Macaca fascicularis: one gene and its partner. Each later gene encodes a partner of the first gene's protein in a complex. Links are inferred from orthologs where the notes say so. Each region holds a gene or a part of one and is shown in the gene's direction. Other genes may lie near its edges.

Region 1 (3,652 bases):
AATACCTCCCTTCAAAGCACTGCGTCAAGCATTTCATACCCTCTGGCAATTTAGTAATAGAAAGAATGAAAAACAAAAAAAAAAAACGTACTGTACACCACTATTTGCAACTGCCCACTCTCTTTGGAACCCAGTGCTGTTTGCCTCTTGTTTGATGCCTCTAATTGACCCACTTAACTCCTGGTGCTCAGCTGTGTTTTATTTTTTCCTTTTGTGCAGGACTTCAGGGTGGTCGTGCGCATCGATTCTTGGGAGTCAACATCTGTGTATCCAAATGGACATTTTGTGCGTGTTTTAGGAAGAATTGGAGATCTGGAAGGCGAAATTGCAACCATCCTGGTGGAAAACAGTATTTCAGTCATCCCTTTCTCAGAAGCTCAGGTCGGGTTTTCCAGAAACCTTTGGTCTAGTGACATTTTCTTTTTTCTTTTGTTGTTGTTTCATCATTAAGAAAGAAAAGTCGCTGTGTTATGTAACAACCCACTGTGTTAAGCTACAGATAATGGAAAAATCTCACTCCTCTTTATTCTATATTTGGACCAAACTGAAGTCAGCTTTAAGTGTAGAATTAGTTTTCTATAGCCTCATAGCTCTCAAATTTTTATATTTTCCAACTGGGCTTAAAAATGATATGTCAGTGTCTTATAGTCAGTATACATCCGTCCCCAGCAACTACAAGGACACCTAGTTACAGACCCAACTGAGCTCCACACTCTCTGTCTAAATCATTCAACCAGAGGCTGCATAAAGCTGCAGGGGGTGGATTCCTGGGATTCATACATCTCCGACCCATGGGTCAAAAATTATGCTCACGATGAAACAGTTTTTGTGAACCTTTACAGAAAACAAAAATCCCATAAATGTAAAACATCAGCTATTTCCATCACTTCATGATCTTTTAAAACCCTCATAAATCTTGTGTATTATTCTTGCATGACTATATTCATCATGTGCACACGCTGATTTCTGTTCTGCTTCTTTCACTTAAAATTATTTTTATATATTGACATAGCCTACTTATTTTAATGATAATGGTAAATTATGGTATATTGACATACCCTAGTTTGCTTAAGCATTTCTCAATTGTTGAGCATTCAGCTGTTTAATTTTTCAGTATTATAAAAAAATGTAGGTCGGGGGCGGTGGCTCACGCCTGTAATCCCAGCACTTTGGGAGGCCAAGGCGGGTGAATCACCAGGTCAGGAGTTTGAGACCAGCCTGGCCAATATGATGAAAACCTGTCTCTACTAAAAACACACAAAAAAATTAGCTGGGCATAGAGGTGGGCACCTGTAATCCCAGCTACTCGAGAGTCTGAGGCAGGAGAATTGCTTGAACCCCGGAGGCGGAGGTTGCAGTGAGCCGAGATCGCGCCACTGTGCTCCAGCCCCGGCGATAGAGTGAGGCTCCGTCAAAAAAAAAAAAAAAAAAAAAAAAAGTTACTTCGAACATTTTTATAAACACTGCTTTTAATTTCTTTTTTTTTTTTTTTAGATGGAGTGTTGCTCTGTCACCCAGGCTGGAGTGCAGTGGCAAGATCTCGGCTCACTGCAACCTCTGCCTCCCGGGTTCAAGCAATTCTCCTGCCTCAGCCTCCCGAGTAGCTGGGACTACAGGCGCACACCACCACACCTGGCTAATTTTTTGTATTTTTAGTAGAGGTGGGGTTTCACCGTGTTAACCAGGATGGTCTCGATCTCCTGACCTCGTGATCCGCCCACCTCAACCTCCCAAAGTGCTGGGATTACAGGCCTGAGCCACCACGCCTGGCCTGCTTTTTAATATCTTTTTGATCATTCTCTTGGAATGTAATCCTTAAAGTGAGATTACCAAGTCAAAGGGTATAAAAGATTTAAATAACTTCTTATATGTACTAGCAGATTGTTCTCCAGAAAATTTGGACCCATTTGCATTGCCATAAGGAGTGTCTGGGTGTTCTTATTTTCATTATAGTTTTTCACAGAATAGGAGCTATCATAGTAAACTATTGTAGAATATTTTACATCATTAAATTTTTATATTTAACATTAGTTTCTGGAAATTATTTGTTGACTTGTTTGGCAGCTCTTAGTGAAAATGTTACAATAAAATAAAGTGTGAGCTATACATCATAGGACTAGAATTTTCTCTTCCCTTTTAGCCTACTTAACTGCAAATTGATGGCTTAAACAGATAATAATGGAGAGAAAATGCCCTAGATAGGTCTTGTATAAAATTATCTTTAAGGGGTAAGCTTTTAATATTTGGAACATGTTGATTATTTTTTCAAGTCTTAAATTTAAAGCTTGACTACATTTAAACGAATGGATCATTTGAAAATGGGCTACATGTTGTACTCTTGTTCCAAGCCTCTGTAACTAAAGAGACTGGTAGAAGTTGTGGGACATTTTCTGTCCAAATGTAAGGGTCCTCAGGGGTATGGGACTTTGTCTTTCTTGTTGACTCCTGACTTTCCAGAGCCCAGCACAGTACCCCGGATATCTGAGGCACCTAATAAACAATTATTGATCGAAGGAAGCCGACATAGGTTGATGCAGAAGGTAATTGAGAATGAATGAATTTCTCTGTGGTCGCATTGAGAATATCAGTGAGTGGATTTTTACAGAAATGTGTGGTGCATGAATTGCTGAATATTTGACCTCTCATACAGATGTGTGAGATGCCGGTAAACACACCAGAAAATCCCTGGAAAGTGAGTCGTGAAGAGGAACAAAAACGTAAAGACTTGAGGAAAAGCCATCTCGTATTCAGCATTGACCCCAAAGGTTGTGAAGATGTGGATGACACACTCTCAATCAGAACCTTAAATAATGGCAACCTGGAACTTGGGGTCCACATCGCAGATGTAACACACTTTGTGGCACCAAATTCTTATATTGATATTGAAGCTAGAACAAGGTAATGCTATTTGAAATCAGCTCTATGGTTGTATATATGTGACTGTGTATTTTGTGTCTGTACTAGTTTCAGGTGTTCAAAGATCTCATGTTTGTGTAATTCTGAAAGTCCCTTCTGGAAAAAAAAAAAAAGTTGAGGTCCACTCCCCATTTTCGTTTAGAAAAACAGTACCTTGATCAATTTACCTTTCCTTTTAACATAACCTTTTCACATATTGTTTCCTACTAAACTGAAATGGGTTAAATTTTCATGTAGTAATATACTATTTTATAAAAATGCTGGATCATTACACTCCAATTTTTCTTATGCAACAAAGATTCACTGTCACTTGCTCTTTCTTTCTCTTATCAGTGGAAGACTATTCAGCCCAAAGCAGTATCACTTAGAAAAATGGGACCATGGGAATAGTTTTATTACCCAGTCTGCTGCACTTTATGAAACAGCAACTACCTTGGGGAATCTGTAGTGAGATTTTGGCCATTTACCTCCCTGCGGCCCACACAGTCAGCAGTTCTGCTTCTCCCTGCTGAAGGTCGCGGTGCCGCGTGTGTGTCATTCACAGGGCCACCACTTATTATCTAGCAGATCGTCGCTATGACATGCTGCCTTCCGTCCTCAGTGCTGATTTGTGTTCCCTTCTGGGAGGCGTTGATAGGTGAGTTTATGGCTTTTGTCTTCAAAGCTTGTCCTGGCCCTTCTGTGGCTCCCGATGCTGCCTGCTTCTGGCCTCATTTTTCTTCTCTGCACTGCCCCA
Region 2 (3,652 bases), on another chromosome or scaffold:
TGCAAGGGAAGAAAACGTCCCAGATTCTCTCATCTATACTTTCTTCCAAATTCAAGCAGCTCATGATCTTAAACGTTTTGTGATCTTGATTGAAGTATAAGCAAGAATCAAAATCCACAGCCCATTGGTTGCCCCCTGCGGAATTGAGAATCCATAGTGCTGTGGCACTTACTTCCAGCTCTCCCTGATTGCAGGAGTCAGGCTCCAAGAGGGATCCACTTAAAGCTTGGTGTTGCAAAGAACACATGGAAAAGTTGGCCTAGACTGGCCTGACATCAATGTTTCCTTAGTCACCTAGCTGTAGCTTCAGCTTAGGTGTGCTACCCTGGCTTTACCCAGTCGTTATTCTTATCTGGAAGTGTTTGAGGGCTGCATTTCTGAGTGACAAACTGAGTGTGTTCTTACTTGTCTTCAGGGAACCTCAGGGCATCATAGCTTGCTGCAACCCAGTACCACCCCTTGTGCGGCAGCAGATCAACGAAATGCACCTTTTAATCCAGCAGGCTCGAGAGATGCCCCTGCTCAAGGTAAGAAGCTTTTCTGTGGCCAGGCCTGGTGGCTCACGCCTGTAGTCCCAGCACTTTGGGAGGCTGAGATGGATGGATCATTTCAAGTCAGGAGTTCGAAACCAGCCTGGCCAACATGGTGAAACTCCGTGTCTACTAAAAATACAAAAAATTCGCCGGGTGTGCGGTGCGCACCTGTGATACCAATTACTCTGGAGGCTGAGGCAGGAGAGTCGCTGGAACCTGGGAGGCGGAGGTTGCAGTGAGCCGAGATCATACCACTGCACTCTAGGCTGGGAAACAGAGTGAGACTCTGTCTCAAAAAAAAAAAAAAAGATTTTCTACTGAAGGGTCCTAACTTAGCAAGCCTGGTTTTTGTTTTTTGTTTTTCTTTTTTAAGACAGAGTCTCGCTCTGTCTGCAGGCTGGAGTGCAGTGGCCCAATCTCGGCTCACTGCAACCTCCACCTTCCGGGTTCAAGCAATTCTCCTGCCTCATCCTCCTGAGTAGCTGGGACTACGGGTGCATGCCACCACGCCTGGCTAATTTTTTTGTATTTTTATAGAGACAGGGTTTCACCATGTTAGCCAGGATGGTCTCAATCTCTTCACCTCGTGACCCACTCACCTTGGCCTCCCAAAGTGCTGGGATTACAGGTGTGAGCCACCGCGCCTGGCCTTTTTTTCTTTTTTCTTTTTTCTTTTTTTTTGAGACAGAGTCTCACTGTTGTCGCCCAGGCTGGGGTGCAATGGTACGATCTCGGCTCACTGCCTCCAGGGTTCAAGCGATTCTCATGACTCAGCCTCCCTAGTTGCTGGGATTACAGGCGTGCACCACCCCCGGCTAATTTTGTATTTTTAGTAGAGGCGGGGTTTCACAATATTGGCCAGGCTGGTCTTGAACTCCTGACCTCAGGTGATCCGCCCACCTGGGCCTCCCACAGTGCTGGGATTACAGGCGTGAGCCATCACGCCCAGCCTTAGCAGACCTGTTTTTTCTGCTAGCATCTTATTCCTTGTGGCTGCCTAGATTCATGAGCTGGTATCCATCTAAACAACCCTAAGGAAATAATAGGGCTTGGGAAATCCAGTGTGTGTATCTTGATAAATTTAGCTGCTTTTTTTTTTTATGATAGTTGAAAACTATCTTTTTATTTATATGAAAACTCATTCTTTTTATTTTATGACCTTAGCTTTGATGATTCAGCAGCAAGTACTGTCTGGTAACTGGGCCAATTCACTGTTCTAAGGCAGTTAATCTGGTGGAGTGAGATGGAGTGGTGACCTCAGCAGAGGGAGCTAGTTTTGGGAGCCTGGCAGTGGCCCAGATATGAAGTGATAGCTCCCTAAATAAGTGAGGAATCACAGACTGGAAGGGAAAAAACAGGTATAGGAAGCATCAGAGGAAAAGATTGATGGGACTTCATAGCAAATGATGACAATGGCATCCAGTTTTCTTTTGGTTTTTTTTGTCATTGTTGTTTTGAGACAGGGTCTTGCTCTGTCACCCAGGCTGGAGTGCAGTGGTACAATCATGGCTCACTGTAGCCTCCATCTGCTAGGCTCAAGTGGTGTTGGGACCACAGGCACACACCACTATACCCAGCTCAGTTTTTTTTTAATTTTTTATAGAGATGGGTCTTGCTGTGTTTCGCAGACTGGTCTTGAACCCCTGGGCTCAAGACGTCCTCCCAGCTTGGCCTCCCAAAGTGCTGAAATTACAGTTATGAGCCACCTGCTAGCCCCACATTTGCAATTTTTATGTTAAAAATGTTTTGTAAGCTTTGTGCTTTGTCCAAGTAAAGAGAGACCTTGATTACTAGAGAAGAGTCTTTTTCAAGCTCTTTGGAATCCTTCCTGTTGTGCTTAGTCATGATAAAGAGCTTTATTCTTTCATTCTACAAGTAATTATTGAGCACCAAATAATTATCGTGCCAGGCACTGTAAAGAGTGAAGAGAGGAAAGAAAACCTCCGGGCTCTTGAGAAACAGGCTGGGGAAGGAACACAGTCAGCGCTGGGGACTGGGGGTTGGACTTGAGGCGTTTGGGCAACTTTCCCCAATTCTCTTTGTTTTTATTGTTAGTCTGAAGTTGCAGCCGGAGTGAAGAAGAGCGGACCGCTGCCCAGTGCCGAGGTAGAGTGTCGGATCCATTTTCTTCCCCGGGAGGGAAGACGTCAGTCACGGCCAGTGCAAGTATACCTCTGACAGAGGCCTGTGCTGACAGCTGGCAGAAAGCTACTGCTGGCTTGCACGTTTTACATGCCAGCCTGCTGGTGTCTTTTTGATGCAGAGATTGGAGAATGTTCTCTTTGGACCTCACGACTGCTCCCATGCCCCTCCGGATGGCTATCCAATCATCCCAACCAATGGTAAAGTTGAGAGCCCTCCTGACTGTCCTGAAGAGGTTGGGGCACAGCTACCTTGTCTCAAATTCTGTATGCTTGGCCAGGCGTGGCTTATGCCTGTAATGCCAGCATATTGGAAGGCTGAGGCGGGTGGATCACCTGAGGTCAGGAGTTTGAGACCAGCCTGGACAACTTGGTGAAACCCCATCTCTACTAAAAATACAAAAATTAGCTGGACGTGGTGGCGCATGCCTGTAATCCCAGCTACTTAGGAGGCAGAGGCAGGAGAATTACTTGAACCAAGGGGCGGAGGTTGCAGTGAGCCAAGATTGTGCCATTGCACTCCAGCCTAGGGGACTACAGCAAAACTCCATCTCAAAAAGAAAAAATAAACCAACAAAATAAAATTCTGTAGGCTTTGACCTTATTATCTTCTGCTCCTCTAGGATCTGTGCCAGTTCAGAAGCAGGCGAGCCTCTTCCCTGAAGAAAAAGAAGATAACTTGCTGGGTACCACATGCCTGATTGCCAGAGCTGTCATCACGTTATTTAATGTGAGTAGCACGGAAACTTCACTGAGGTGATGAGGACCCCCTGGGGTTTACTGGGTTTATCCAGCAAGTCGTCTGCCTGGAGTGTTGCTTACACTCGAAGACTAACGCTGAGAGCAAAACCCAGCAGTGCTGGGAGAGGCACAGAGACCGATGAGCAAGGCGACACTGACCACTCTGGAGGAGGTGGTCTGGGGTCGTGGATGGAGGATTCTCTGAGCTCTGTGTGTGAAGAAATCTTCAGGGAAAGG

The links.
Region 2: DIS3L (region 1) and EXOSC10 share a complex: the UniProt entries of both Homo sapiens proteins name them as parts of the RNA exosome complex. The link is inferred for Macaca fascicularis from reciprocal best matches to the Homo sapiens genes DIS3L and EXOSC10.

What each region holds. Positions count from the first base shown.
Region 1 is NC_088381.1:42,977,742-42,981,393, forward strand, and holds part of DIS3L (DIS3-like exonuclease 1), read left to right. Parts: intron 1-219; coding exon 220-381; intron 382-2,457; exon of another isoform or gene 2,458-2,531; coding exon of another isoform or gene 2,532-2,540; intron 2,541-2,650; coding exon 2,651-2,898; intron 2,899-3,249; exon of another isoform or gene 3,250-3,460; coding exon 3,461-3,553; intron 3,554-3,652. UniProt on the Homo sapiens protein: Catalytic component of the RNA exosome complex which has 3'->5' exoribonuclease activity and participates in a multitude of cellular RNA processing and degradation events.
Region 2 is NC_088375.1:223,720,943-223,724,594, forward strand, and holds part of EXOSC10 (exosome complex component 10), read left to right. Parts: intron 1-415; coding exon 416-527; intron 528-2,588; coding exon 2,589-2,639; intron 2,640-2,796; coding exon 2,797-2,875; intron 2,876-3,297; coding exon 3,298-3,404; intron 3,405-3,652. UniProt on the Homo sapiens protein: Catalytic component of the RNA exosome complex which has 3'->5' exoribonuclease activity and participates in a multitude of cellular RNA processing and degradation events.